2 linked regions of the Solanum lycopersicum genome follow. The main gene of each other region encodes a partner of the protein of the gene in region 2 in a complex. Links are inferred from orthologs where the notes say so. Each region holds a gene or a part of one and is shown on either strand. Other genes may lie near its edges. The genes, in order: mitotic spindle checkpoint protein MAD2 and mitotic spindle checkpoint protein BUBR1.

The links.
Region 1: mitotic spindle checkpoint protein BUBR1 (region 2) and mitotic spindle checkpoint protein MAD2 share a complex: the UniProt entries of both Arabidopsis thaliana proteins name them as parts of the mitotic checkpoint complex. The link is inferred for Solanum lycopersicum from reciprocal best matches to the Arabidopsis thaliana genes BUBR1 and MAD2.

Annotation. Positions count from the first base shown.
Region 1 is NC_090804.1:8,530,827-8,547,369, reverse strand, and holds mitotic spindle checkpoint protein MAD2, read left to right. Parts: upstream 1-7,052; 5' UTR 7,053-7,234; coding exon 7,235-7,323; intron 7,324-7,778; coding exon 7,779-7,909; intron 7,910-8,002; coding exon 8,003-8,123; intron 8,124-8,323; coding exon 8,324-8,427; intron 8,428-8,530; coding exon 8,531-8,652; intron 8,653-8,737; coding exon 8,738-8,797; 3' UTR 8,798-8,997; downstream 8,998-16,543. UniProt on the Arabidopsis thaliana protein: Required for the execution of the mitotic checkpoint which monitors the process of kinetochore-spindle attachment and delays the onset of anaphase when this process is not complete.
Region 2 is NC_090803.1:68,272,603-68,289,353, reverse strand, and holds mitotic spindle checkpoint protein BUBR1, read left to right. Parts: upstream 1-7,076; 5' UTR 7,077-7,267; coding exon 7,268-7,467; intron 7,468-7,642; coding exon 7,643-7,702; intron 7,703-7,825; coding exon 7,826-7,970; intron 7,971-8,064; coding exon 8,065-8,222; intron 8,223-9,973; coding exon 9,974-10,055; intron 10,056-10,128; coding exon 10,129-10,195; intron 10,196-10,266; coding exon 10,267-10,321; intron 10,322-10,667; coding exon 10,668-10,836; intron 10,837-10,932; coding exon 10,933-11,021; intron 11,022-11,182; coding exon 11,183-11,263; intron 11,264-11,333; coding exon 11,334-11,397; 3' UTR 11,398-11,704; downstream 11,705-16,751. Other genes in the region: chlorophyll a-b binding protein 7, chloroplastic, read right to left, coding at 1,505-1,597, 2,329-2,461, 3,073-3,219, 3,362-3,528, 3,594-3,707; bZIP transcription factor 60, read left to right, coding at 12,743-13,125, 14,051-14,274, 14,490-14,737; pyrophosphate--fructose 6-phosphate 1-phosphotransferase subunit alpha, read left to right, coding at 15,766-15,855, 16,405-16,577. UniProt on the Arabidopsis thaliana protein: Essential component of the mitotic checkpoint. Required for normal mitosis progression. The mitotic checkpoint delays anaphase until all chromosomes are properly attached to the mitotic spindle.

The sequences.
Region 1 (16,543 bases), on a different chromosome or scaffold from region 2:
TCAAATTTATCTTTATCTTTAATTATAATCATTTTTCTATTATAATTTTTAAAATATTATATTTATTATATTTAAAAAATAATATAATAAAATTACCTTTTTATTTATAATTTCTTAAAAGCGTTAAAATAATAATAATAGACCACTATTGATGGACAAAAGAGTATATTTCAAAGGAGAAGATGAATACCACAAATGACATAGACCAAAAAAGAGATACACAATTTAATTTATGACAGAATGAGTAGGAAATCTATTTTTTCTTAGAGGACCACCACCTAATGGACTCTGTCTGTTCACTTCTATTTATTATATTTATTAAAAAATAATAATTGAAATGATTATTTTACTATACTATTTTTATTAATTAATATTTGGTGTTAAATCTTGAAAGAATGATTTGAAAAATAAACAATTAATAGTAAGGATAAAATATGGGAAAATGTTTTTTCTTCATAAGTTAAAAGCGACAAGTAAAAATGAGAATAAGTAAAAGTAAATGGAGAAAGTAAAATTTATAGCGGGTAACGTCAGCCCAAACAAAATTTCAAATTCCAAAATACGGCACAAGACACTCTTATGTTTCTTATGAATGCGTTGTTAATTATATATCAATTTATGCTAGTTTCCTCTCGTACACCCTCAACTTTATAAATAGGTCCGTCTATGCTCACAACGAAGTGCCCTTTGATAACGATTGAACAAGTCATTACCAAACCTCATATAATGAGTTTAATTAAGCTAGAAATAGGAAAAGCCCAAGTATAACCTAAAATTGAAATATAATTGGCCAACTTTCACATATAGCAAATAAAAAATTCATATTTGTACGTTATAACAAAGTTTGCATAATTGCGCTCCACAGCAAACATAAAAATACATATACAATTGAAGCAAATTGCATAAAACGAAGTGTATAAAACAAGAAAGAGAAAGACACTTGAGCAGAAAACTGTATAAAAACGAAGTGTATAAAATGAATTGTATTATTATAAGTGTATAGAACGATTATATACAATTTGAATTTGTATAAAATGAGAAAGAGAGAAAGACAAAAGAGACTTGACAAGGAATATACAATTGAATCGAATTGTATAAAACGAGAAAGAGAGAAATTAGATACAATTTGAAAATTGTATAGAACGAGAAAGAGAGAAAGGCAAAAAAAACTTGGCAGGGGAGTATTCTTATTGTATAATTATAAGTGTATTAGGACGAAAATATATGTACTTGCATGTGTATATACAATTTTCTCACGCTTTATACAAACAGAAACGCAATTTATACATTTCGCTTCTGTTTGTATAAGTGAGAAAGACGAGGGTGGCGAGCGAAATCTGGAAGAGTGGAGAGAGGGGATTAAAAATATATGTATTTATACAATTTTCTCTGCTTTATACAATTAGAAACAACTTTTATACACTTGTGTTTGTATAAAAAGTGAGAAAGCGAGCGAGAGATTAGAGGAGAGTGGCGAGTGAGATATTTGGGAGAGAGGCGTTTGCTATGGAGCACAATTAAATCAATCCCTAACTACTCTATTTATTTTACGTTATTAGTTTGTTATTATATGCCCTTTTTTTCAATATAGTTGGTGCCTTTTAGCTAAAAATAGGAAGAGCCCAATTTGTAGGTCTTGTTATAGGCTTAGAATATTATCGAATATTTATTCATATGCTATTATTTATACAACTCAATCTATTATAAATTAAAGGAAAAATGATAAAAAAAAAAAAAAAAGAGAAATACTCCTAAACTATACAAGTCAAAATAAATTTACCTATCGTTACGTTTTCCGATCGAAAGTATCCTCAATATTATGATTTTTAGTTTAAAAATATCCTCTAACTATTCAAATGAACCAAAAATATCTTTCTTTTCGACTTTATTCCAAAATAACGAAAAATGAACCAATTTACGCTAGGGTAGTTTTGCTCTCTCTGAATCTGAATGATACATTTTCTTCGTGACTCTTAAGAATAATATGATAAAAAAAAATTTAAAATTATGCATGCCTTGACACGTTTTATTACTTATTTTGATTTTACCACACCAAATTTCAATTAAGGGCCAACATAATAGCTTTGAAAAGAAACAATAAAATAAAAGGTTCAATTAAAAAATTCATATTGATAATTGAACTTTATTTTTTATAAAATTGTAATTTAAAATAATTAAATGAATCTCATAATATTCAAAATTAACATTGACTATACATTATGATACATTCAAAAAATTGAATATAGCTTATCTATACATGAGTTATACACTGACTATACGTTATGATACACTCAAAAAATTAAATATAATTTAAATGTACACGAAGTATGCATTGAATATACGTAAAATGTACACTGATTATTCAATTTCGATCAGTTCAAAATCTCCTCTAAACAATCTCAAGTTTTAGATATGAAATTATCTCAATATTTTAAATCTTTTGATATATGATTTGTTCGAAAGAATTTATATTTATGGTATATTAAATTTTAAAGGAAGAGGAGGAGGAAGAAGGACAATCAGCAGAAAAAGAAGGAAAGAAGAACAGAGGAAAGACAACAACCAAAAATATCGCTATTGTTGAATGATCATTTTAGGTAACTATAAAAATGGGCTAAAAAATGAAAAGTAAAGCTTATGGCCTGTCGTTTGACATTTCACATGATATATTAAGAAAATATTTATCAACTTAAGCAATAATATCTTTTTTACTGGATATTTATAATATAAATTTAAGATATTTTATATTGAATAATTTATAAAACACATATAATACAAGTTTTATTCATTTATCATTTATCACATTGTAAAATTAGGTCTTAGACCTAACTCACACCCTAAAAGTTAGCTCAAAGGGAGGAGGATTGCCTAAGCCTTAATAAGGAGTCCACTCATCTCGTTAACCACCGATATGAGACTTTTGTCATTCTGTAACATCCCATCTCACGCCCAATGCTTAGCATCTGGTGCGTGGACAATTTTGATTTTGGGGGTCCCAACATCGGGTGAGTAACTCACACCCCAAAAGCTAGCTCAAAGGGAGCAGGATTGCCCAAACCTTATAAGGAGTCCACTCATCTCATTAACCACCGATGTGAGACTTTTGTCATTCTTTAACCCTTATAATACATTATTTCAATTTCTTGCCAAACAGGTATTATATATTTCAAATACTTATAGCACATTTATATTTGCATGCAGAATTCACTTTGAATACATGCAACAATTATCATAGCATTGTTATAATTGGTAATAAATAAAAAGTATCTCTAAAATCAGTAATTATTTATTAAACGGAAAATGACTTAAAATATCCTCATCTATTCAAATTGGTACAAAACTAGTCTCCTTCCACCTTTTGGCCCCCGAATACCCTTAATGCCAATCTTTTGTCTCAAAAGGTTGAACGGATGACAATTTTATATCAATTCAAATAGTTGAGGAACATTTTAGGTCATACTCATTTATGAAAAAGTACTTTTCCTATAATAATAAGATCAATTTTTACGTATATTGTATGTTATACCTATAGTTAACATAATTGCGCTTCATAACAAATTTTATATTTGTTATGCATCCTTTGATTTGTACAATTCGCTAGACACTTCCAATTTATATATTAATTTGTCCAGTTTTGTATAAACTCATTTATACAATTGGATAATTTGTATATAAAATGTTTCCTGTAATTTGTATATGTACGTGTTCTTTGGATAAGTGTATACGTGAAATCAATATGCAAATCTCTCTCTCGCTTTTTATTTGACACAAATTATACAGTGTAATTAGTATATTTATAAATCCAGAAAGAGAGAAAGACAAAAGAGAACTGGACAATGGAAGATATGTATTTGTACAAGTATAAGTGTATAAGACAAAAATATATATATTTGTGTAACTATATATATACTTTTCTCTTATTTTATACAAACAAAACACATTTCATACATTTGTATACCGAATGAATAGTTGTATACCAAAAACAGATAATTATATACTGAACCCGATGGCAAAAAAATGAGATGTTTGCTACGAATTACAAATAAAATAAACTATGACTATAACATTTAATTTAAACTAATAATTTTTTTATTTTATATAATTTTCCCTAATAATAATAATAACAAATCACCAATTACAATTGGACCCGATTGCGGCCCAATTTTTGCACTAAGTAGTGGGAAATTTAATATCAATTCAAATAGTTTGAGAAACATTTTAGGTCGTAATCCTTTATGATTTTTTTTTCTATAATAATATAATAACAAATCACCCGACCCAGTTGTTGCCCAAACTTTTGCACTAAGCTCATTTTAGTAGAAAATTTTATATCAATTCAAATAGTTAAGAAAAATTTTAGATTGTACTCGTTTATGAAAAAATTATTTTTTTTATAATAACAAATCACCCATTACAGTTGGACCCAATTGTGGCCCAACTAAGCCCATCTCAGTGGGAAATTTATATCAATTCAGATAGTTGAGGAACATTTTAGGTCGTACTCGTTTATGAAATAAAAACTTATTCCTATAATAATATAGGGGAAGATTGTATGGGATGACAAACATCCCTAAGTAATTATATAATAAGGGAAAGTTTAATTTATTTACTTTCTATAATTATAATTTTTTTATTTTTTTGCCATAATTAATGAGACCCATCACCTTTTTTTATACTAACCGTAAAAAATCTTTTTTGATTTTGTATATAAATTTATACAAATCAATTTTATCTCTCCTATTTCTACTCCACCTCTTTCTCCTATAATCACTCATTCACTCCGATTTTGAAATTCAAATCGGCAAAAATTTCACCTACTCGCTACGGTATTGATTTCATCTTTCACAGGTAACCGCCAAAATTTAGCCGTGAATCAATTTTTATTTTATTTTTTCCTTCTTCAACAATTGTATATATATTGTGCTTCTTAATTTTTTTTATTTTTTTTGTTAAAATAATCGTTCTTTCTCATTAGATTATAAATTCTTCAAAATCAGAATAGATGAATCATCTTCATTTATGAGGACTACCAAATGTATGTCATTGCATGTCAATTTTGTTGACAAATTACTCTCGTTTTTAATGAATTTAACTCAAGATTTTGGGGTCTATCCATATAAGTTCAAGATGAGCAATCAATGGAAGAATTGAGATCCAAGAAAAAAAATGACTCAATGGTAGTTCAAAAAGTTATTAACAACGTCATAGCTAGCGGCATTAAAATTGTCAAAGGAGGAACAAAGAGGAAAGCAATAACCAGTGATTCACAGGAGAGTGAATCTGAAATTGACAGATTCGAAGAACATCAGGATCAGGAGGTAGTGTCTTAAAACACAATTTTAATCAATCAAGATATCTAATAATTCTAATAGTAATCAATCGCGAACATCTTCATCAGATCTTCTTGATTGCATAAAATAATTTTGTATGTAGCAATTTGTATATTTTGATGGTTACATACAAAATTGCTTGAGGTATATGTAAATTTTTTTATGTATTAACAAATCTAAAGAATATCAGGTAATTGTATAAAATAAATTTGTATATAGCGATTTGTATATTTTGGTAGTTATATACAATTTTTTTGAGGTATACGTATATTTATATATATATATATATATATATATATATATATATAAGTACTATATTTATATACATATAATCCTATACATATAGAGTTTATATTTTGATAGTTATATACAAAAAAATATTTGAGGTATAATATGTATATTTCTGTATATTTAAGTACTATATTAATGTACACATAATTATATACATATAGAGTTTATAGTTATATACAACCATATACATATAGAGTTTATAGTTATATACAACCATAAATAGTTCTTATTTATACAAATAGTTTATATGTGTAACGTATATAATTGAAAATATTAATTAATTGTATAAATATTCGATTTACATATTGACATATACTTTTTATCGTTTTCATAGGGATTTATTTTCATTTGCAAATAACCACGAAAATACGCCCCCCACATGCAGTGGTATACATATACAACTCATACATATAACATTACTCGATTTTTTTAACCAACAATTAGAATAGAATTGTTAATATACAATTTGTTTATATTTTTATGACCAAATATAACTACTTGCAATTTTAAAAATTTCAATTATATACTATGCAAATCAATCTTATTCTTTTTCACACTTTAAAACATGAAGTTTTCTTAAAAGAAAAATATACAAGAATATTGACGAACCATGAATTTTTCATTTTATATTTGCTTTTGTGGTACGAGGATAACAATTGTTATGATGTTTGTATTGTTATAGAACTCTTTTTGAAAAAATATTTGATTTGAAAGATTAACTTGAATCATGGGATTATGCAAGTATTTTGTTACCTTATTACCGTTCATGTATCCATTTATTAAGTAGAATATTACATAAATTATGAAAAATTGCACAAGTACCCTCCTATACTATGTCTGAAATCACAGAGAAACACCTTAACTAAATAAGGTCCTATTACCTCCACCCCCTCCCCTTACACTTATTTTTTGTAACTTTGTGCACCTTTTTAGCTTACGTGACATTCAAATATCTCGTACGTGTCTCAATCGCGTGGAGCCACGAAGTGTGCCACATAAGACAAAAAGTGCTCAAAATTACAAAAAAAAAAGTTCAGGGGTAATAGGAAGTTAATTTAATTAAGGTGTGTCTCTAGAATTCCAGTTATAGTCTGGGGATACTTATGCATTTTCCTCATAAATTATAAACAAAAAAAACTTAATATGCAAATTAAATGCTCCATAGCAAACTAAATTATACTCGTAAAATATAATTATATAAGACAAAAAGTGCTCAAAATTACAAAAAAAAAAGTTCAGGGATAATAGGAAGTTAATTTAGTTAAGGTGTGTCTCTAGAATTTCAGTTATAGTCTGGGGATACTTATGTATTTTCCTTATAAATTATAAACAAAAAAAACTTAATATGCAAATTAAATGCTCCATAGCAAACTAAATTATACTCATAAGATATAATTATATAAACTATACTTATATAAGTTATAAATTTTCAGTGTGGCCCAATTTTTGCACTAAACCCATCTGACCGTTGTTTTGTGTCATTTCCAAAAACTAGCCGTTGCTTCTTCCACTATGTTTCTCAATTCTCATAAAAACCCTAAATTCATCTCTGATTCTCTCACAAGCAATCAATCTCCATAACCATTTTTCTACTTCTATTTCCTAATCTGAAAATGGCGTCAAGAACAGCCTCCAAAGACATAATCACACTTCGTGGTTCCGCCGCAATCGTCAGTGAATATTTTGGCTATGCTGCAAACAGGTAACAACTCGGAATTCCTGTTTTTTTCATATCAAATTTTGGTTATGTAGACTTGCACGTTGTTCACATAGTGATCGGATCTCAGATTTAGATAGATTTCACAAAACCCCTAAATTTGCTTTGAAAATTAATTATCAACCTGAAATTCAGCCCAATGAAATTGGGTTTGAGCAGATTAGTAATGAAATTGGATTGAATAGATTTCATCAATCGATACGTTGTTGATTTTCCGATTGATTGAATAAAATGCTTTGTGTTCTTCGTTTATTTACCTGCATTGGACTAAAATGGGCTACAATAGAGCGGATGAATTGATTTATCTGACTGATTCCAATTAGTTTTACGTTGGCCATCGGCCATTGTTGATTGATTAATTCCTTTTATGTTCGTTGTTTATGGTTTTGTCTGAATGCTGATTTTTTTTTTTTGAATTTGTGCGGGGATTATGTATTTAGCATTTTGTACAACAGAGGAGTATATCCTGAAGAAAGTTTTAAGAAAGTGAAGAAATATGGTCTCACAATGTTGCTTACTGAAGATGAAGGTGTCAAGACCTTTGTTTCCAACTTGACTGCCCAACTTGCTGGTAAGTTGTAGAATTTTGACGAGGCTGTAGATTGGTTCAGATCATATATTAGGTAGTGAAATGATTGTTTTCTTAACGATTTTGTTCATGTAGAGTGGTTGGAAACTGGAAAGCTACAAAGGGTGGTTCTTGTCATCATGAGTAAGGCCTCTGGTGAGGTATTAGAAAGGTGGAATTTCAGTATCGAAACTGATAGTGAGGTTGTCCAGAAAGGGTAAGATGTTAATCATCTTTGGTTAATAATTGTGGATTGAAAGAAGTGTATGTTGGAGTTATTATGGCAGAAGACCTATAATTTCGTTCGTGTGCTTAAATAGTCCAGAGCCAAATACTCAACCCTGGCTTGCTTTTGATGTCTTCGTATGTTGGATTGTTTGTTAAATAATTAGCTAAATGGTTTATTTGATTTTCCAGTGTTTCAAGAGAGAAAAGTGATAAAGAAATAATGAGGGAAATTCAAGCGATTATGAGGCAAATAGCGTCCAGCATCACTTATTTGCCGTGCCTTGAGGAACCATGTAAGCATCATTTGTGCTTGGATGTTACGATACAATGGCAATGTTGCTTTTTTGGGATGTTTCTTGATGAGATTTCTTGTTTCATTTGTGTGTATGGCTGTAGGTGTGTTTGATGTGTTAGCATACACTGATATGGATGTTGCAGTTCCATTCACTTGGATTGAGAGTGACCCTAAACTGATTGCGAATCCACAAATGGTGAAACTGCACTCTTTTGACACTAAGGTAGGAGCAATTTGCTGCTTGATTCTGATACGAATCCCCTGGATATTTCGGTGACCCTAACTCGAGTTTTGTTTTCTCTATGCAGATTCATAAGGTTGACACATTGGTTTCATATAAGAATGATGATGAATGGGATGAGTCCTAGACCATGGATCCTTGTTGTACCTTACTTTTGTTGTCATTGTGAATCATTGATTCACATTTTGTATGTTAGATTGTGTAAACCTTGAAACATCTATTAGTTTGTATCCTGAATGAGTATTGAAGGAAATTGAACAATTAGATCAATTTCTCCGTGTGAACATGTTTTTTGCCTTGTGAAATATATTTGGGTACTTTTTTACACGTCCTTGTTGTCTACACATTGCCATAGCACATAATAATGTTGTTTGCGTCGGCTTGGATTTATACGCAACTCAAATTATGTTGAAATTTTGGTTTTTTTCTTTCTTCCGTCTCCCCCAACTACGCAGGCAATTTCTTGAACGGAGAAAATAAATACTTTTTTTGACTTTTGAAATTTGCCTTCAACATTCTCTAAAAAAGAGAGGTAACGGGGGAAGAAGATCAGTGTGCCTTTTTTATTCTTACATACAAAGTTATCATGCCGTTAAAAATAAATAATCAATTAATGTCATGATCTTTTTGTCGAAGTTAACGGATTGCACATAAATTATAGTGTTTTTAGTCTAATAAAATAAGAAAGTAATAAAAAAATTTGGATCCTCATGAATCGGGAAATTTGAACCCGACGTGAATCGAACACGCAACCTTCTGATCTGGAGTCAGACGCGCTACCATTGCGCCACGGATCCTTGGATGGCTAAAGTCTTCCATTTTTGATAGTCATTACATCTCTGTATTATTTTGGGAAGTGGATGAAATAATAACAATAAGAAGAAGAAGAAGAAGAAATAAATCTTTGATGTTATTTTTTTAGTTTTATTTCTGAAATATTTATTATCAGCACAATTGTTTTTTCTTTAAGGATATTTATGATTTGGTTTCAGTCAGTTTTCGTTAAAAGTTAAAATATAAAAACAAACAAATTTAATAAAATTTTAAATTAATAATATCAAAGTAAATATATATAATTTGCATTCATCAATTAGTTATTATTGGTTCAATTTTTCAATGTAATTTTATTAAACATGATATGCATCGTTTTTAATTTTCCCTATAAGAAAAGACCTTTAATCATTTGCTAATTTATAATTTGGTATTAACATTTAATTAGGATGACTATAACATTAAATCTCTACGATTTATAAATTTTATAGTATTTTTTTTGAATTAAATTGATAAGAAATACGAAAATATATATCTAGGTACATCTCACAATAGTTTAATTTTGAATAAATGAGTTTGCATTCGAGTTTATATAAAGTTTATTAACCTTTTAAAGATAAATAATTTTTTCATCAAAAAATATGTGAAATATTTAAATTTATTTTAAAAGGTCATTTAGAGCTGTCTAAGATAGACACTAGCTTAGTGAACCCACTTTAGCTCACTCAGGTCCCGTATCTTGACAAATATTACACCAACTTTTTAGTTTGACAATATATTGAACTTCATGTAGTGGCTCATATGATTTATGTTGATTTTAGTATTTGCATACTTCAGATAAATTTTTTTGATAAATTTTTTTCCAGTTATTGCATGACTTTGTACTTATATTTTTCAAATCAATATTGTTTTATTTGAAAAAAGAAAAATTATTTATTTTTTCAGATTTTCAACTTTTTAAAGTCACCACTTTATTTTTTGAGAAAAATCAAGAAAACTATATTTTCAAAAGAAATAAACAGAAAAATCATTTTGAAAACTTTAAAGGAGTTCGGGAATTCTTATTAGGAAGATTTTGAAAGCATCTAAGACGTTCGCTTACTTGCAGTTATCCAACAACTAATTCATTTGGCCAAACAAATAACTAATTTGATTTTTGAGGTAACGAAAAATACTTTAGAATTGTTTGAAAAGTGAAGCACTACTGTGACCAATTAACTTGTAAAAATTTATTTCAAAGTTATTTTATTCGATTGGTTAAGTTGTTAAAACCGAAGCGGCGTTTTGCAAGGATTTGGATTCGTCAATCCTAAAACTAACAACAATTAATAAACAAGTAGTAAAGTGAGAGAGAAAAAAAGAGAGAGGGAGATAGGGTCGGGTCCAAAGCCAACTTTTGTTCGCCTGGACCGATATTTGGACCCATTTGTTTTTGCTTTAGGCTTTGGGCCTATTTGATTTGTACATGTCCTAAACTACTAAGATAATAATGTACAAAGGGTTTAGGCGCAAAAATAATTAAATACACTAAGTTCATGCCACTTTTTCAAATCTCCGACTTCTTGGCCTGTTTAGAATTTTTGCGACTTAGGACCTATTCACCGATTTCGGATTTTTTTCTTTGAACTTTCTAGCCGGCAAACTCGATAAAGGAAGTTGAACCTTAAATGCAAGAGGAATGGAGTCAGAGGTAGATTTCACATGCAAAAAAATACAAACGCATAAGCAATATTCATAGCAATTCTTTAAGAAAAAAACAAGATTAAAAAAAATTGTAGTATTACGACACCTTCAGGACAAGAAACTCAAAAAAAGTAAAAAAAAAAAAAGGGTTAGAAATAAAGGGGAAGTAACGACACACCAAACGTACAATTTTAATAAATTACTGTCGATCCCAAAATGATAAAACAAACATCAATAAGCAATTCTCCTCTTTCCAAATGACCTCAAAGGATATTTTAATCTAACATCAAGCCGAAGATATATTAATTGAACCGACCAAAGAAGTTCAAACTTCGCATTGAAAATTACCACGTCTTGACAGTGAAAACGAGGAGAAAACTTTACAGACCATACAAAAACTTGGGGATCCCACATTTTCTAACGAGAAACAAGAAGCTTAACACCTAGAAAACTTGAAACTCAATTGTAGTTAGATACAAATATACTTGGACCATAAAAGTTACAGAGATGAACACAAAGATATATTATAAGGACACTTAATAAACTACCCACACAATGTGACCTAAACATACTATGTTAATGGGTCTAATATGTCTGCACTAAATAAGATCCGGAAATAACGAGCACGCTGCTGAACCGAAACTGAAATTGGAAGCTAGATTCACATGAAATCTACCTAGGACCACAAGTCACAAATATGTTTTCTGCCACAAAGATGCAAGCCGACTGAATCTTGACATCTAAGGAGACGAAACAAATTTTAACTAGCGTTTAATTGCAATAAGAATCAAACACTTGAAGCATGAGAGATGTCTTTCACAAAGATATAACTATAAATGGAGACGAAATAAATTTTAACTAGAGTTTTATTGCAATAAGAATCAAATACTTGAAGCATGAGAGATGCCTTTTACAAAGATATAACTATACATCAAAAGGCAGTGGGCACTAGAAGCAAATAACAACAAATGGAATAATAAAACTTACTTAGAGCAAATAACAACAAATGGAATATCAAAACTTTCGCAGTGAGCTTCTTGAGAGGATTTTGTACTTGGGTAAAATTACATGGCATTAGGGGAGGGGGCCTAAGATAAAGGGTTATAAGTAACCAAATGAAGAAGAGACAAGTAACATCATGCTTCTTAGAACTTCCTAAAGAAAGATCAATTACAATCCAAACAAACAGGGCTTAACAAAATAAACGAAGTAGCAAAATAAAACATTTATAGACATATTAAGGAGCAAAGCATATCACATATAGAGGCAAATATGTGTCAGCAACACTTAACACCAAGAGCGTAGAACTAGATAGGCCGTAACACCATAAACTTGGAAAACAAGTAGTTGCATCAAACAAATAATAGATAACATGACATGTAGTTCCCGTATTAATCCGCTTCCAATGCTTTTACCTTATTCCCAAGTGTGAACAATATTAACAGCAGGAAAATATAACGACATAAGAAGTAATAAAGCTTTTAGTCTTAAAGCCGATAATATACGAGAAAAGAGAAATCACCACAAAATCAAAACCAAGAAACGAAAGGAACCACCACTCTAAGATGTATAGCAATCCAAAAACTATCCAATCTTCTTCTTCTTCTTCTTTTTTTAACAAATAGCAGAGGAGCGACGATCCTATAATAACTCTTCCGGCATTCAATAACATTATCTTTTAGATAGAAGAGAAGGCATTACTTTATTTTAACGCAACGAAACGGAGAAAATAACAAAAAACAACATCTCAGATAAATAGCTTTCGAAATCGACTTGATGAATATATTTATCACATTGAAACAACACCAACTTAATAGTAACCCTCAACGAAACTAAAAAAACTTTTCAGTCATTTAGAGATAAACGAAAAGATAGGAAGACGACATACCTCTTCCGGGGCAGCAAACGAGCAAGAGGAGGCAGCGGGTTCCTTCCAACAGCACACACAAACTTTTGAGAGCTCCGCCGAGCAGCTAGAATGTCTCAAAAGAAGAAAGTGGGGCCTAAATACCCTCACTTATTTTGAAATCTATCTCTATTAAAGAAAACCCCCAAGTTCTTCTCTCAGACGCTTGTTTTCCGCCTTCCATCCCCTCCTTGGGATTTTTTAGGGTCGGGGTCAAAATGTTGATAAACCGGATAAGAACTAAAACCCAACAATTTCAAATTCCTAGCTTGAACAAGAGAATATACCAAATTGCGTCTATCGTCATATCCCTTTCTGATGCGTGTACGCGTGCTGCTCTTGTCGCAAGCGATTGACGCCTTCTCTTGCCGTTTTCTGGATTCCCGCTGGTGATGAGGGAAGAGGTCTTGGGTCGGATCATCTGCTTATGCTGAATTGTCAAGTGGGAGTTTCTGGAAAATTTTGGATTGGAATGTTCTGTAACATTGAACATTTACATTGAATTTGGTAAAACAAAATGGCAGAATAGAATCGAATTGAGTTGATTAACAAATTCGGCTAAAATTTAGATAAATTGAACTCACCAACAAGACAAAATAATTAACTCAAGCAAAAACTAAACACTCAAAAATATAAACTATTAAATTCCCCGAAATTTATTTTAACCAAAGTAAGACTAAAAACTAAAAGTCTCCTTGAGACGATTTTTGAATATTTTATAAAATATACTAATTATATACGTAATTACGTAAACTATATATATATATATATATATTATGAAAAAGCGCTAAGATCAAATAAAAATAATTTGAAAACTATTTTCTTTTTTTATAAAACTTAATTATTTCAAGTAATTTAGAATTAAGAAGCTCGTTAACTAACTCCTATCGGGAATGGTCAAAATTTGGTGTCAACAAATATATATCAACTTCATGTTATTTTATTTAGTCGTTGCATCAGCATATTTTACAAATTCAGTGTGTTCAAATGTCATGTTTATTATGTATATTTTTCATGCTCGCTACATTCAAAATACTGACCACATAATTCTTCCTCATTGTGTTAGAATATAAGTTCAGGCACTCAAAATTATGCCCGCGGTTAGCGCAGATCCAATCAATGTTGCAATTGCTAGTAGGTGAATTTTCATATTCCGAGGACAATCTTATCATTTATTTCAGTATTTACTTTGAGTTTCAAATATTAATACTTAGCTAGGAGTTTGTCATAGTAACTCATTTAGTAGAGATTTTGTAAATTCAACTTATGTCTTAAACTAGATATTTGTCGTTTAATAGACTACTTCATTTTTGCACTTCCTTATTTTCGGTCATTATGTTATCTTAGTCTCATGCCATGTTATAATGTTAGCTTGAATCACTTATAGATTAACTTTAAGCACGGTGTCAAGTCTAGGGGATAATCTTGGGGCCTGACAATGTTGAAATAATATTTACTGTATAAATTCATATTTGAAATTTGAAATAATATATCGATCTAAACATTAAAAAATGAAAATTATAAAGTAAATCTAAAATATATTTAACAAAACCGATTATAATTAATCCTTTTTATGCATAAAAGAATTAAACTATTATTTATTATGTTGATTTGGATTCGATCTGACTTTTCTTTTTCATTAATACAAAACCAAATCAAGAATTTGATTTTTTTTTGTCTACGTCAAACAAACCAAACCAAATCATAAATTGGTTTCTATCTTTGATTTGTCAATTTGATTTGACATGTACACCCCTAATTTTTATTTTTTTTTTGCATATGAGAACCTCTAGATATTTTATAAATTAAAGCTACAGATTTTGATCTTATTGGCATACATTTAATTTAAACAAAAATGGTACTTAAAATATAGAATTAGTGGCTTGGAGTATAATTAGAGAAGAAAGTTGTAAACCATAAATATGTAGTGAATGATTGACAAATGTAATAAATTCTTCATTGAATAGTAACAAACCAATAAAATGAAAAGTAACCATTGAATTGTTTTCCCCAAAATAAGAGAAGACTTGTGAAAAAAAAATGCAAATTTAAGAAGAAAAAAAAAAGTAGCTAGGAATGGAAGTATTTAGGTCTGAGGGTCTCTCTTGGGCTGATCAATGGGATCCTGAATCTCCTGCTCCTCCACATAAGGATGACAAGAAGAAAAGCAAAAATGCTTCCAAAAACAAGTTTCTCAAATGGTTTAAGAGCCTTGGCAAGAAATCTAAAAATAAACAACAAGAATATGAACAACAATATTAATTAAGACAGGTTCCATAATTGTATATGGCACATGAATATGCACATTCTATATATTATGTATATGCATATCTCATATCCCTAGGTTATGTGTTAATTAATCAATATGCTTGTCATATGCCATATGTCATGAGGAATAAGTGCACATGATTATCATCATGTTTGTATTGAAATTACTAAGTCATAATATATGTTTGTTAACTTTTCAAGGTTTTTTTTTATTGTTTGTTAAAGTACCAGTACAATTTTTATATTTAGAATTTTTATTCTATATATTTTGAGGATATTGGGTTCAATTAAGCCCCAAGATCAAAAGCTTGCTTTGTTTGCCTTTGGATATGGTTGATTGATGTAAAATGTATGAGCTTTAAATAATAAAATCTTGAATATGTTGTCTTAAATTAAGAGTGGAAGTTAATTTACGAATTATGATGAAATATTTTGTTATTGTGTGAGTTTGATGATATAGATGATAAAAAATACTTAATCGTGATTTATTCGACGAGAAATTTACTCTAATTTAAGTTATGATAGTTTTGTATTTTAGTAATCAAGGCATACTTTACATCTATATGCACCATCACCTATTATAGGGATGGATATGGGGCGGTATGGAGTGAGGAAGGGTATAAAAGTCAAAGACAATAGCAAAATAATGTTTAAAAAGGGTGTTATTAGAGGTGGGTCACACTATTAATAAGGTTTTAATGGACGACGACAAAAAAATTTGGTTAAAATTACGTCGGGATTCGTATCAACAAATATATTCATGGACTATAGCACATCAAAAATGGTAAAATTCAGGTTTTCTCACTCTAGGCCTCGTCTGAACTTGTATTTGTATAAAGTGAAAGAGAGAGATTTGATATGCAAACGTTTTGTTTCGATTCAATTGTATACAAATTAAAATTTTATACAGATTTACAAACACATAAAATTGAATTGAGACGCTGCCAACGATTTTATGCAAATCTAATTTCCCTAACGATTTATACAATTTGATGCTCCATAGCAAACTTTAGCGATTTTATACAAATCTAATGCCCCAAACGATTTATACAATTTGATGCTCCATAGCTAACATAAAGTTTGCGATGGAGCACAATTATGTAAACTATAGCTATAATATACAAATATGATTTTTATGTTTGCTAAATGTGAACGTTGCTCTATTTAAAACTCCAAACTCTTAACTCTAACTTTGCCTCGGACAAATTACAAAGTCTCATGAAATTTAAAACCCCGAATTTTTAA
Region 2 (16,751 bases):
TTGGTGATACTGATGTTCTCATTTCCTTGAGGGTCATTACAAGATGTTGAACTTGATTCCTTTGTTTGTCCACTAGTATCTCCATCACAGGATAGTCTTACAGAGTTTGCTGATGTACCTCTTCCTTTATTGTTATGCCTTGGATTTGGATATGTGTTTTGAACTGTGTTCCTTGGATTATGCTGATCACGAGCAGAGCCATTTGTGTCATTAGATGGATAGCCATGCAACTTGTAACACTTTGCTCTAACATGTCCTGGTCTTCTACAATAGTCACAGAAAGGTCTTCCTCTTGGTGTTGTGTTGGAGGTAGAATAGTTTGTTTGAAAACTTCTACCTCCTGAACTTGATGAAACTGCAGCTAGAGAACTACTCTCAGTAAACAGTTGATTATTTGGTTTAAATTCTCGTTGTTTTTCCTCCTGCACTAGTAAGGCAAAAGCTTGTGCCAAGGATGGCAAGGGATTCATCATCAAGATACTTCCCCTAATTGTAGTATATACCACATTCAAGCCCATCAGAAATTGAATCAAACGTCTGTCTTGCTCTGCCTTCTGAACATTAGCTTTAGCTCCACATACACACACACAACTACACTGACTTGAAACACACAGACTGTTTAACTCCTCCCAAAGTTTCTTCATACGAGTGTAATATGTTGTGATATCGAGAATACCTTGATTAAGGTCATTTATCTCCTTCTGAGTTTGATACAATTTTGCTCCATTCGTCTGATCATATCGATCCTCCAGTTCTGTCCATAATTCCAAAGCATCATTAACATATTCAACACTATCAGTAATGTCTCGATCTAGAGAGTTGAGAATCCATGAAGTGACCATATCATCACATCTCACCCATTCACCTCTGGTCTCTTACACTCACCATTGATGAACACTAGCTTGTTCTTCACTGACAAGGAACGAAGTACACTACGACGCCATGAATGAAAACCAGTGCCATTGAAAGGAACTGGTACAAGTACTGCTCCAGGATTGTCTGAGGGATGAATGTAAAAGTGACTCCCTGCATCAATCCCAGATGAAGGAACACTGTCTAATGCAGTGCTCGTAGATGCAGAATTTGTCATTGTATTTTGAAAAACAAAAATCGAGTTTACAGAGGATCTGATGCGCAGATTGAAGAAGAAAAGAGGTAAGAAAATCAGGAACGTTCCTGCTCTAATACCATGTCAAATTGAAGAGAGCTGCAAAACCTCCATGGATGAAAGCTTGATTAAAGAGGAAGAAGAAGAGGCATTGAAAATGTGTGAACAATTTTCATTCAGTTGTGTAACAGAAAATGTGAGCAGGCTGTGGTTATATAACCACCAAAAACAGAAGCTAACCAAAACAGAAAACTATAACTAACTTCCTGAAAAGCTAAACTAACTAATTGAATTAACAACTAATTAATTACATTAACAGCTATGTGTAATGACTAATTTAACCTCAATAGAAATAATTACTGGAAGGATACACATAGAGCAAGTGTTTACACTCACCATCAAAAGGGCTTGGCAAATGGCTATGACAATGACTCCTTGACTTCCAGCTAAATGGAGTCCAGGGATCCCTAAATAGTCAAGTGTATCTCCCTTGAAAAAATGAAAGAAATATATAAGATTAAAAAAGGATACCTGCAATAAGCGCTGGATACTGAATTTATAAGGTCAATATGAGGTCAATAATCAAGTGGAACAACACTCTGATAAGAATATGAAATAGGTGGGTGATAGTGATACAAATTAATTATTGAAAGGAATAGCATGTTAAACACTAGATTCCAAGAATGAAATTTCATAAGAAAATTATATCAGAATTTAAAAATTGAAATTTTGAACGACAATTTTTGTAAAATCAATCCAAATTATGTTTACTCGAAAACCTGAGAACAAGGAAGCAACAACAACAAACCCAGTGTAATCCCACAAGTGGGGTCTTGGGAGGGTAGGAATTACACAGAACACAGCAGTGTTGAATAATAACTTTGCCAAGAAATAGAATTCTAGTGGATGTTTGGCTCATCATAAAACAAATCCATTTTGTACAAATAGTTGGAAGATATTAAGTTACTTTGGAGTATGTTACTATAGTTATTTATCTTCCTTGTAGCATTATCAACTCATCCGATCTCACCTACTTGCACATTCGACATGAGTTGTTTGGGTCGACAGACAAGGTTCCGCTGAGTCGATAACTGGAGAGGCGAGATTGGAGGAAAGAACAAGCATGGGAGTTTTTGGACTCGTATTATCAATAGCTAAGGGAAGCAGCATCTATCAACCAAGGGAAGTCAAGTTACAACGCATATATGAAAGATACCAACCTTAAGCTTTGAGTAGCCCACTCGCCACCAAACAGGTTCCACAAACTGGAAAAGTCCTGTCAGGTTTAAAAGTTCTGGAATCAAAGCACCAAGAGCAGCCAGCATAGCCCAACGACCATGCAATATTTCATAACTGTGAGTAACCATGACAACTGAAATAAGTTCGAATAGAATTTAACAGAGCTTCTACGTGGTTTCTGAACAAATAGTTTGTATGAGTGTGTGTTTGTTGCTATTTTGAGAATTTCAAAAGCTCCCCAAAAGATTACACAATGGGATCTCTGAACAACCACGCTAGAAGATGTTCAATCTCTCATTCCAAAAATGTCTGGGAGTAGAACAACTTTCATGTCTATGTGTGGCCCTAAACCCTGACCAGATATGAATTTTGCAACCCTTTGCTACTTCCCCTCAAATACCAATTTATAACTTTTTTTGGCTACATTTATGCTCAAGAAACATGTCTGCTTTTATTCCAACTAAAAGAGGATGGAATCATGTGAGTTGTGACCAATCACCTTAGGATCGTGGTTATTTCTCAGTAGGTTATCGTAGGCCCTCGCTCTGTTCATTTCTTTAGTGAGAGGCTCGTCTTTAAATGGATACATGTTCTGAAGAAGCATAAAAGGTCACAAATAATTTAATGGCATATGATGTTGCATTTTTTGGGAAAATACTATACATTATCTACTCAGAACAAAAGAACATTTGAAGGAGTTAATAAAAGCAAAATCCAATCCATACTTAAAGTAGTTTTGAAGGGCCACGGGATCCTTGCTCAACCCGCAGATATCAAATCCATAGTCCCCGGGTAGCTCCCCATTAAGATAAGCAGGATAGTCATAAGAAATTGGACCAAGCCAGCGGGGGCGATCTTCTCCATACCAGATACTGCAAAGAAGACAAACAAATGATAATAGTGAAAACAAAAGTGGGTATGCATAACAGTATAATATAGGAACATTTTCACAGTGGTGGAAAATAGATGGATGCATTACAGAGGAGAATGGCTTACCAAGAGATAGGGATTTACCTATCGTTTCTTGCCATTAGTGCAAGTGCTTTGAACTTAGCTGAATTCTCTACTGCAACCTTCTTTCTCTCTTCTAATCGTTTACGGAGTGTTTCACCGAAGGTACTGTTGGCGATAGCTTTGACAGCGGTGAAAGGAATCGCTGAGAATACCAGAACGCCGGCAAGCTGAATAGAATTGATTAGTTAAGTTAAGTGGTATTTGATGGCAATCAGAAGAAGCAAAAACACACCTCTTGCCATGAAGCCTTGTGACGCGAAAAGGGATCGAGTGCACTTGCATTGCGATACAACCTTTGGTCTTTAGGGACGGAGGACGATAGATGGGGAAGCTGAAGCAGTGTCATGACTCATGACCACTTGTACAATCTCCTTTGCCCATTTCTTCTTCAGATTCACTACTTTGCAACAAAAGTCATGACGTGGTTCCTTTCCAGCCTCAAAACCCAAAAGTAATCTCTTCTTCTAGCGCAATTACAAGAGATTCAACCAATCAAACGCAATTACAAGAGATTCAAATAGTTTTTAAATAAGGTTATTGAAGTCCAAAATTTTAAAATATACGACTCCTACTCATTTTCGTTTTAAGTTGAAAAATGTGATAGTAGTAAATTACCTTTAAAAGAAATTATAATTGAATGCCGAGAACTTTTCAAACAATCAAATCGTCTCACGTATGTGACTTTCATTTAACAAAAAAACTTGCACATTTGTTTGCCTTTCTCCGGGTGGATACAATATCAGCCTTGGTGGGGGTGATAATATATGCCCCTATGTGATGTGAGGAAACAAACTCCATTCCATATATTTATCGTTGAACACAAGTTATTCTAATCTCTAACGATAACTACTAGGCCTGAATCTCAAATAAAACCATCCAATACTCATCAACTGGACCCATATACCCTTAACAAGTGATATGCTTGAAAACAAGTTTGCTTCAATTGATTTTTGTATCTTACTATGACTAATGTCCAGAGCTTTATAATGAGAAGCTTGAATTTAACGTCGCTCAATATCTACTTGTTTTATTCGTCTGTATATATATGGACATGACATTTGAACTTACCTAACTAATGCTTCATAAAGCAGTGAAGATATAACTAATATAACAAACCTGAAAAGCAGATGGAGGGTTTTGTACTAGTAATTAACTGTAATCATTCTAAATTGGAGAGAAATACAGTAGACAAGTCCAAGTACAACAAGAGTGAAATCCTAATAATTAATTAATTAATGGTCATAGGTGCGGCACTCGTCGGCGTCAGGGTTATTTTGACAGTAAGGTTCAAGGGGATCTTGATTAAGCTGAAGCTTGATGCGCAAATGCACCTTAGCCTAGCTAACTTCTTCCACCTCATCCCATGCCACCTTGCACTCGTCCGATCTGGCGTCTTCACTGCATACCTCCTTAGCTTCCTTCACTTTCTTCTCTATCATTTCCGTCAGCTGTTTTTCTCTCATCTGCGTCCCCTTATACTTTGGTACTCCTGCTGATCCACTCATCATCATCATCACCTTTTGCACTCCTTTCCTCCTGGATCCAGTTACACTAGCAACATGAATTGGGAATATAGATGCCTGCTTCAAGTTCAAAGCCATCACAATTATTTATTATAGATGACTTTTTTCGGATGTCTGTTGATTTCTGGTGGAAAAAAAAATGTACAGATTTCTTGTGAAATTATAACGAACAATATAATCTCATATCTCTATCACAATCAGGGCATCATTTAGTACTGCTCAACTAACATAAAACGACATCGTCTGGTATTTCTCGGTTTGGAGATAAGGTTCCATCTTCAGCTTGGGGCCCATGGGAACAGTTCTTCCACCTTTGCCTTTTTCTCTTCTCCTCTCCTCTCCTGGGTGGACTTTCAGTTTTATCAAATTTTGCTTTGATTTTTTTAGTTTTTAGTTTTTACAAAAACGTGCATCTATTTCAAATCAATTCTTTTACATGTTCTAAAAAATTAATTAATTTTTATATAATCTTACAAAATGAGCAAATTGTTATTTATACACGTGTGTTATAGAGATGGCAATGGGATTGGATGTGTGTGCCGAGGGGTATGTTTATGGCTATGTTTATGGTTTTAAGGTTGTGTGGTGCGGTTAGATGTGGAGCTGATTGAAGTAGGCTTTTTAAAAATTAATGTGGAGTGGGACGGGTTGCAAGTATATGTAATTTTATGTGAATTCAAACTTATTTTTAGTTTTTACATGTTATAAGAGTGATAGAACATTATTTATTAAGATAATTTCTTTTAAGCTACTAAAATATTTAAAATAATAAATAAAAATGGTTTAATAAAAATAATAAAATTTCTTACCAATTTCCCAGTTGACCTCTTAAAAATAATTTTTAGGCCAACTACATAAACAAATCCCTAAACTTGTTGGGTTTTTCCCCTCATGTACCTCAACTACGTCATTTTTCAATTGAATCATTCAACCACCCATAATTTGTTTCTTTAAAACACTGTTGGTTGATTTTGATCAGCTTTTCTATTGTAAATGTCTTCAATTGTGTTCGAATTGTAATAATTTTGATTGAAGGAATGAAGACTAACTGTGTTAGTCTCATTTGTTTTCTAATGTGTTCAAATGACTCAAGTAAAACATAATTATTCTCAAACATTTTCACTTTCAATTGGACTAATTATTTGTGGAACAACATATGTATCCTCTATCAATACCCCTCACAAATCTGATTTCACATCAGACAACAGTGTTTGATTAAACAGAACAAATTATGGGAGTTCAATTATTCAATAGGAAAATGACGTAGTTAAGGTACCTGAGGAAAAAAACCTAACAAGTTTAGGGATCTGCTTCTGTATTTGGCCTAAATTTTAAATTACTATCCTATTAAATTAATACAACTTAATGAAAAGATAAATTTATTTTTATGAATTTTATCTTAGTATCAAATATAATTAGAAAAAGAAAATATTAAAAAAATTATGGGAGGCAGGTTGAAAATGAAAAGAGTTGTCATGCAGGGCGCGGCGAGGCGCGGCAGATTAAAATTTTTGCGGGTTAAGCTCAACCCGCAACACCCCACCCTACACCACCGCATTGCCATCTCTAATGTATTTTTAATAACTTAATCTTTGTATTTTTTAAAAAATAAATGTTTGAAATTATAAATTTGTATTATTTTTATAATTAACCACTAGTCAATAAATAATATTGATTAATTATTATTTTAACGAAAAAGACTCATAAATATTCATAAACTATCTGAAATAACTCATATTTACGTTTAAACTATATTTCAGTTCAAAACTATCCTTCCCATAATACTATTGGGTCAAAAATATATTTCTTATTAACGGAATTTGTTAAATGTCATGTGGATGTCACATTCCATGTCAATTTGGTTCTACTGCCACATAGAATAAATGGAAAAGGGGTAAAAAATACCCTTAAACTATTCGAAATAGCTCATATTTATCCTTAAACTATATTTCGGCTCAAAACTATCATTCCCGTCAAACTATTAGATTAAAAATATCTTCTTATTGATGAAAATTGTTAAATATTATGTGAATATCAGATTGATTGCAAATAAGATTTCATTGTCACATAAACTAAATCTCTAAATTTGAATTAAATTGAATTAAATATTTTACTAATAGGTCATATTATTAATTTCCGGGTAAATTCCAACGGTCTAAATTCGATGTACTTGGCCCACTTTGTTGTTTGTAGTAGCGCACTCGTTAAAAAACATTACTTATCTTATATTCAATCATGGTGGGACCAATAATATTGCGAAAATCTGGAATTTAAAGGAGGGTCCAACGGCTATGAAAGGAAGGGTTTAGGGCACAAAACAATTTCAAATTTGAAAGAAGGCTCTCAAAAAAACACCACCACAAGGAAGCAGCAAGAAGAAGAAATGGAGAAGGTAGGAGGAGATTACGTATTGGATAAGGAGGCAGAGTTCTTAGCGTCGAAGCAAGAGACTGGTCACGAGTGGGAACTCTTCAAGGAAAATGTCAGACCTTTGAAGAGAGGACGCAACGTTAATCTTCTCAATAATGCTCTTAAGTCTAGTACCGATTATCAACTCAAGAAATCTCTTCTTGACAAACGAAGGTTCCTCTATTTCTTCTTCTTTGCATTTTCATGACATTTACTCCTGAGGTTGGTCCAAAATGCAATTACTATTCCATCCCGCACTAGATTTTGATTAAGATGTACACGCTAGTTGTAGAATAGTAGCAGTTGCTGCATCCCTTATTAATTTTTGAATTCAACTCTTTCTGATTAGGGAATTTATTGAAGCAATTGACAAGTACAAAGGTGAAGATCCTCTTCACCCATGGCTCCAGTGAGTGCTCTTCTTTTCAGATGCAAATAATTTTTCAACTCTTATATCTTCTACTAGCATTTAATGAGTCAATCTCTGTTATTGAATAAACTGCTGACATAATTTTACATTAAAATTGTGAAGGTGCATCAAGTGGGTGCAAGAGGCTTTCCCTCCCGGTGGGGACAGTTCTGGACTTATAGTTATTTATGAACAATGTGTCCGCACCTTTTGGCACGATGAACTATATAAGAATGACCTCCGTTACTTGAAAGTGTGGCTGGAATATGTGAGTTTGATTTCTCCACATCCATTCTTTTGCCCCTAAATCTTCTCATCATGCAATTTGGTAAATCAGTTTTCTTATTGATGGCTCTTTGCAGGCTGAAAATTGTATGGATGCTGAAGTCATTTATAGCTTTCTGGAGGCTAACAAAATTGGACTGACACATTCTTCATTCTACATAGCCTATGCTTTGCACATGGAATCTCAAAATAAAATTAAAACAGCAAACGAGATCTTCAATCGGGGGCTATCTATGTAAGTTGTGTTTCCATTGAGCCTTGGTTTAATTTTAGCCGTAAAGTTAGGTTCTTGCATAGTTAACATTGTGTTTCACTTCACACTAGGCAAGTGAACACGTCTTGGTTCCAGAGAAGTTATGCTATATGTTGTCTATGATGTGAGATGCATCATTCAAATGGTTTATTGAATTGCTGTCTGATATTTTTGTTCAAATAGCGTTTGATATGTCAAGTCTAATGATGTCTACGAAAGTTGCATTAATTGTATGCTAGTATTGAGTAATGTGTGGGGGCTGGGGGGGGGGGGGGGAGGGGATTTATGTTTGAAGCTTCGCCAAAATGAGTTCAGTGTTAAGTATGAAGCTGCACGGATAAGTATGTGGTGTCCCCTTCATATTGACCTACTAATTTTCATACCTTGAATACTAAGACAATTTCATTTGATAAGCTCAGAGGTCAGAACTGTGGTAGATTACATTGCTTACGGTCCCTTATTTTATGTTCTTTCAATATATGCTCATGTGACCGAATAATAAACTAAAGGCCGTGATCGTATGACAGTGGTATGCTTCTAGAAAACTTTATAATTATTAATTGCCATATGATGAACATATTTGATATCCTTATTAAGGAAATTTTGTATAAGCCGAGTAATATGATTATGAAGAACTACATGTATCTTTTTGAATTATGAAATGATTGGTTCCTTTATAGGCATCAATTGAATCAGATAGTACCATGTCACACAATTATGTTAAGCATTTGTACAGGATGAACAACAGAGACGTTATCATTGAGAAATTTGTGCTCTGGAATTAATCATTTATTTAGCTAATATAGATATTTCAGGTATGGCAGCATGCAAAATAGCCAGTGCCACTGTTCATTGAACTTTGCTTAATTACACAACCTAATCATGTTGTTTGTAACTTGTATAGCATGATTTTCTACTAAGAGCATTTCATGCCTTCAAAACAGCAAGTCTCTGTATGTGTTTCTAATAAAATGCTCTAGCTATCAACTGTTGACATAAGAATATATTGAAATATTTATTTCTTGTTCACATTTGCCTCATTCTTGAGGGACCTTTTATATTCTCTCTCTACTTGTTTTAACTTCTGATGGGGATGTGAATGCTATGATGCTGGCCAAACTTGCTGGCAGAATAATGCTACAGCAAGGTGAAAATTCTAATATATTTGGCATGATATTATTGTGGATGCTCAATTGGTTTTAGATATTACCTGACACCTAAATACCTTTGGGGGTAGTTTGGTTGTTGGATAGAGTTGTGCAGGTATTAGTTATGTAGGGTTCAATTATTTACGTATTACTAATTCATGTATTAGTTATACCATCTTCAAAGCTGCATAAAATAATACATAGATTGACGCCTAACTAGTACATGTTTTAGTTATGTGAGATTGTAAACCGTAAGCAAAAAACCATACTTGATGTGCTGAGTTTTATACATAGCAACTAAAATGCTGCCAAAAATGGTACTAGTTTATGCAGATTTTAATATATGAATAATCTAACCAACAACTAAACGACCCCTTGGGCTGCCTCAACAAGATTGTGGATGCTCTTTTTTCAAGCTTTCTTAGCCACTAATGAGTCTTTTCCATTAGAGATACAGTTAATACAAGTACAGAACACTGATTACACCAAGTAACCTTCCTCCTGCTTGTTCTCATCCACTTATAAGCCTATTTACTGACTCCCTCAGCTGGTTTATGATTAAAATTTCCGTCTCCTATGAATCAGGAATGCAGAACCTGAAGAGAAATTGAAAGTATCCTACAAGAAGTTTTTCAGTCGTTCAATGGGTCGCCCCAAAGCAGCAGAGGTATCAATTATTGTGACGACTTAAGTCCATTGTCGTTTGCTTTGATTTGAATTTGTGACGATTTGTATTTCAGGAGGAGATAACAGAACACCAGCTTCCAATGAGAAGCTTTGGCACACTGTTGGCTAGGGGGGAAGCTCGTAAGTGCATTTCTATGTCGTAGCTTCAGGGTGTCTGCTTGCTTTGGTTAACATTGTTTTTGCCTTTGCAGGAAACCAAACAACAGGAACTTCTGAATTGTCCCGGAAGAAAATGAAACCAGATAGGTAAGTGTGAGTCACTATTGTTTTCTCCCAAGTTACGTTCTTGTGTCCCTGCATTTTTCATAGTAACACCATGAGTTAAACAAATCTATGTCGTTATTACTTGTTCTTATCATCACATAGTTAAGCTGCTATGTCAGGCAAGAGATCTGATTCTGATGAGTTCTTGTTTTAAATACCTTAAATCCTTTGCAATGTGGAAAAGAACTTTTTGTTGTTATTGCTGCCTATTCCATAACTTGAAGGAAAAGGAGTGTAAGGATGCTGATAACAAGGTTGCAGGAAATACTTACCTTTTTGCATGCCCAGTTCTAGTAGAAACACTGGCTCATTTTTATCTATTTTGCAGAGCTCAGGGGAGCCTATTTTCCATTTACAAAGATGCAAATGCCGGAATGTCATCAACTCTTCAATCAGAAATACCAAAGCTAGAGAATACATCATGGCACTGTCTTGGTGCCCGAGCAGATAGGAACAAGGAGAATCAGGCAATCCCTTCAAAGTGGACATCTAATAAGGTCCGTTTGAGTCCAGAGAGTTCAAAATAGAATATTTGATTTTTTGTCCAAACAGATAGGAACAAGAAAACTCATTAACAAAAATATTTCTTACAGATTCCTCAAAGACACGGGCTTAGAAATCGAGGAGCTACTACTACCACCACTCCGTGCCTAGAGATCTTTGTGGATGAGGAATGTGCCAAGTGAGTACCCATATAGATACAATGGTTTTTTGAGTGCGAACAACACATAGTTAACACTTAACAGTGTGTGTACATGCATCAAGACAAGGAGATTTTCAGCTATTGTAATAGTGTTAGTTTGTGGATTGACTTTCTTTGTTGCCCCCCTTCATCTTTGGCAGAGCACAGGAGAAGGACTCTGCTGCTGGTGTAAAGGCTTCTAGTCTGCAGCTTAGACGAGGAGATGACAAAGACATAAAAAAGTAAGTATCAAGTTTGTTTCTTCACTTCAATAAAAAGAAAGCACCTTTTTGACAATGCACTTGTATGCAGGGAGACTGAGTTGCTGAGGGAGAATCCCCTGCGTTATTTTCCACCAAGCTCATTACCAAGATGATCGATCTCACAGAAGAAAGTCATCATTGTGTGCTGGGGTTTCTCATCTCAGAGTTACTCAACTTGTATCTTAAAAGTGTATGGAGACAATTCCTCTTTGCCCAGTGCAAGCACCGTTACAGATGTTCTAAATATATCGAGTGGAGTTGAGGAGACATTGTTGTATGTTTGGTTTTGGCAGGCTTGAGCCAAATCCTCCAGTATTTTGTTATTTAGATGGAATGATTTTATATGATTGCAACAGTTATTGATGTAGTATACAATTGCGCTTTCTCGTAATTAGCTCTTGGTTAAAGAGTTCTGCTTCACATTGGTTTTCTTATTTTGTTTATGATGATTAATTTTGTTGTTAATAATCCCCATCCAACAATTTTAAAGGGTGTGTACACCGTGAATTATTTCCTGGTATCGAAAGAGTTATTTACTACTTGAGCTATGGACTTCAAAATCCTGCCTTTAAAACCTTGTCATTTAATCAGACACTCCTTTTTTTTAAAAAAATAAAATTCTTTTTTATATCAAGGCAAATATTAACTGAACCACGGAAGAACTGTGTATAATTTAAGAATCTTAAATAGTACTTGTTAGTTTTAAGGAATGATTTCTTTTTCTCGAAAGAAAATCAAGATTCTCCTAAGTTGTTAATACTTCCTCGGTTTCTTTTATATATTATTCTTTTTTATAAATAGTTGTTCCATACTTATCATTTCATAAAATTAGTGCACCTTGTTTATAGCCTTGAAAATATATATTTCATCAACTTAGAAAAATTAAATAAATAATTCATGTTTTCATTCATTAAATTAATTAATCAAAATAAATTAATTCGTATTCATTGATTGAAAACTTAAATTCTAAAAATTAAATAAAATAAAAGGGTAAAATTATATCATTTCTTAATGTAAATTTAAAATAAAAATGTGACATATAAAAAAGAAATCGAAGAAAATACTATTTATTTATCATTTTTTTTTATAGAAACGAAAATGTGGCATGTTTTTAAAATTTATATTAATATTTTTATATATATAGAAAAGGAGGGAGGTGTGGTTTTCTTTTACCTTTTATTTTTTTTTTTTAAAAAAAAAGAAAAAGAAAAAAAGGTATTGTTTTCTTTTAATGGGAAAAGGGATGTAGTAATTAGTGAGGTGAGTTGTAGCGAAGTGGAATTCTTATTGGGTGGGTGACGAAGTAATTAAAAACTTGGAATTTCGTTGAAAGTGTTTGGAGCCTTAACCTCTAAGACACCTAACGTGATTATTAAATTGGGGACATCCAGAGATCGGGTCCCAAAATAGTGAGTCGGACCCTAGTTTCTTCACCCCACAATCTCCGTCGAACTGGCGATGATCGATAACATCGATGATATCATCAACTGGGACGATGTAGATCACATCTTCCACAACGTTCTAGACAATCCCGACGATGATCAATTCACTCTTCATGATTCCTCCCCACAGTCATTCCAGCAGATCGAGCAGCTTCTTATGAACGATGACGATTTCGGTCTTGTCTCTGATCCTCAGTTTGCTGCCGAATCTCTTTCTGACTTCCTCGTCGATTCTCCTCTTCACTCCGATCATTCTCACTCTCCTGCTGAACAAGCCATTGGATTCTCCGATCCCAAGGTTTCAAGTGCCGATCAGGACAAACACAAGGTTTCCCAGTCGCCTTCTGACGGCGACGACGAACTAAACAACCATGACCCCGTCGATAAGAAGCGCAAGAGGTATCTCTCTAGAGTTTTGCCCCTTTTTTCTTTCTAGTTTATTTATTCAATTTGTTTATAATTCTAGCACTTCTCTTAGTTTATTTATTCAATTTGTTTATAATTCTAGTACTTCTCTTAGTTTATTTATTCAATTTGTTTATAATTCTAGTACTTCTCTTTGCTTATAACTCTTCTGCACACACGATTTACACTACTGTGGCTTCTTTTACTTCTCGTGTTGTATCTCTTCTTTGAAAATGGTTGACCTACTAGCAGAAACAAATCCTAGTTTTGATATCTTAGTTAGTGTAACTCATGTTTATTAAATTTGCTTCATGTAAATTATCAATGACCAGAAAAATCTTTGCAGTTCCTGTGTATGCAAAAACCATATCCACATAGTGCCTTCTCAGCCAAATCGCGAATCAGTATTTCCAAGGAGTTCCTTTCTATAAGATTGCCTTAATTTGACATCACACATTGACTGTATGAGCCATTCATTTCATGATTTGATTTGTGACGTGTTAGAACATAATGTTCATTCTCTATTGATTATGAAACAAAAATATGATTCTCTTTTCCGAAGACATACAGATTTTATCAAAGCACATGATGCTGCAACTTTTCCATTAGTTTGCAATCATGAACACACCCCCAAGTGGGAAACTTTCCTGAATAGCAAACTACTTCTAGACTTCTTAGAATAAGAAGCCATGTCCTTGAAAGATTGCACTTATTTAATGTGTGATGGATATATTATTATGTAATGTGCGCATTTATCATGCTTAAAATTGCATAACATCTTGTGCATTTATCTAGAGTAGTTTAATACACCCCTCTCCTCTTCTATTTCAAAATGGTGAGAGGATTGTACTTATCTAATCTGTATGTATATAGCAGCTTAAAGAAAATCTCAGTCACAAACTTAATTTTTGTTCTCCAGGCAATTGAGGAATAGAGATGCAGCTGTGAGGTCACGAGAGAGGAAGAAGTTGTACGTTAGGGATCTTGAGTTGAAGAGTAGATACTTTGAATCAGAATGCAAAAGGCTGGGGTTTGTTCTCCAGTGCTGTCTTGCTGAAAATCAAGCTTTACGCTTTTCTTTGCATAATAGCAGTGCTAATGGTGTTTCTATGACCAAGCAGGAGTCTGCCGTGCTCTTTTTGGGTAAGTGCATAAGAAACATTCTTGTCATCTGTGGCTAAAATACTTTCTTTATACCACTTTTTGCTCTGCTACAATTTTCTGGACTTTGCTTTAGTTGGCGTTTGAAGCAAGAAATAGATGTGAATGTCTTGACATTTTTCCATCTTGCCATGGTTATGTTGGATAGATATTTTCTCTCAAATGCCTACATTAATAGATGCAATATGAATTTGCAGAATCCCTGCTGTTGGGTTCCCTGCTTTGGTTCCTGGGCATCACATGCCTGCTCATTCTACCCAGCCAAACCTGGTCAGTTCCAGAAGAAAGTCAGGGAAGCAGAAACCACGGGCTTCTGGTTCCAATAAAGGAGGGAAAAAAGACTAGTCGGATTTTGTTGTTCCTGTCCTTCATGATGAGCAAAAGATGCAAAGCTTCAAGATCGAGGATGAAGCTCAACCCCCATCCCTTGGGAGTTGTGATGTGACTCGTTGTGATCAAATCTTTTCCCATAGGTGGATCATGGTTCCTTTTGAGTTCTTTAGTTTTTTATCAGAGATTCTCTTGTATGTGTCTTGCTTTGACATCTGAAGGATGAAGTTCACTGTTATTAGTTAATGACTTATGAGCTATATAATATCTATGCAACTTTTTAATAGTTCCAACCGAGATTCGGTTGTCTTTTCCATTTCTCAATGTTTATTTTGTCCCATAGTGGTAGTTAGGAGCGGCCACCATTTCATCCTCGTTGCTGCTATGAAATCATGTGTAGATGGATATTAATTTGGTATAACATTCAGCATCTTTAAACTATGTTGAAACTTTGATGGTGGATTAAACCACAAGGTTGCAGACAGTGATCTGTTTCTATTATTTTCCGTTGTTTGAGCAATGCAAATAGTAGTTTTGACGAGATAAAGCGTATGTAGTTGGGGGAAAGAAGGAAATGTGCATTTTGCAATGTTTAAGATATTAAACTGGGGGCGCTGTTGGAAAATTAAAATAGAAACTGGCTCCTGATGTTTGTTGTCAAATGCCCTGAGAAAGTTTTGTCATTGTCCCCACTCACCATCGAGAAGTATTCTAGGTGAACCCTGAAATTACGCAACTATCCTCCTATCTGGACCTCTTGGCTCTTTCACTAGAAACAGAAATGGTGATACTCTTTACAAGTGTAAACACAAGTAAAGAAAAATCAAGTTTGACGTGGTTAATACTTTTTCAAAACAACACAAAATATTGAAGTAGAATATTCCTTATGTTAAAAACCAGTGTATGCTTGCTAACACCAACAAAAGCATAAAGAGGAAGGGGGGTATTTTGGTCATTGGGCATGGAAGGGCATACATACAAATACAGAGAGTAAGAAAACTGGTTGCTGTGTTTGTTGGTTGTATCGCCCCCACACTATATATAAAATGGAAGGAGGGACGGTCTTTTCAGAGTTAGAAACTGACAAAGAGAGTACTATTATATTATATTGAAACACACAAAAAAGTGAGGTAGGCATAAACAATGGATGCAGATTACGGCATAGCTCGAGAACTCTCTGATTTGCAGAAACTTCGATCTCACTACCACCCTGAACTTCCACCTTGTCTTCAGGTACAACTCTGTTCTATTCATCCACTCCTAACTACTACTACTAGTTTATATATGCCAAACTCTTTGCTAGATCTAACCTGCTACATCACACTCTTTTCTATCCTCGTACCACTATTTTCTTCATATCACGTCTAATTATTACACCATTTATTTGAGAGAGTATTTCAGAAAGTTGGCATATATATATATATCCTTGCAGCCGGCTGAAAGATCACATCTTTACATTTTCATCTGCAAAATAAGTCACCTCTTTACTTCAACTCAAGTAAACAACACATATAGACTGGCTCTGTTGCCCTTTTTGAAATAAATTATCGGGAAAAAATGCTGCTAAACTTTGACAAAATAAAACTTACAAGTTGCTCAGATTTTGTCTGACTGTTCCCAGACATTCATGGCTGTCCAACTTTTGTAGTTAAATGCATCACCACTTTGCTGATTGTTTACATTTTGGAATTTTATCTATGATATTTAAGAACCATTAAGCAATTTGTCCTTCAATGTTATTATTAACATATTCAATCTTGAGAATTGTTCTGACTTATACAGGGTACTACTGTCCGGGTAGAACTCCGTGATGCAACCACTGCAGCAGATCCCTCTGGTGAACACACAATTAAACGCTTCTTCCCACACACTTATGGTCAACCATTAGCCCATTTTCTTAGGGCAACTGCCAAGGTCCCTGATGCTCAGATAATTACTGAGCATCCTGCAATTAGGTATTGCATCAGACGATTGCTCTATAATTGTGCAGTTCACTCACAAACTAGATCAGCATTGTGATCACTGATCAGGAGATGTTTTCTAACAAAATTCTATGTTGAGGTTTATGGATCTACCTCTGTTTTCTTGATAACATTCCTTTTGTTTTGTCTGTGATTGAAATCCTTTTC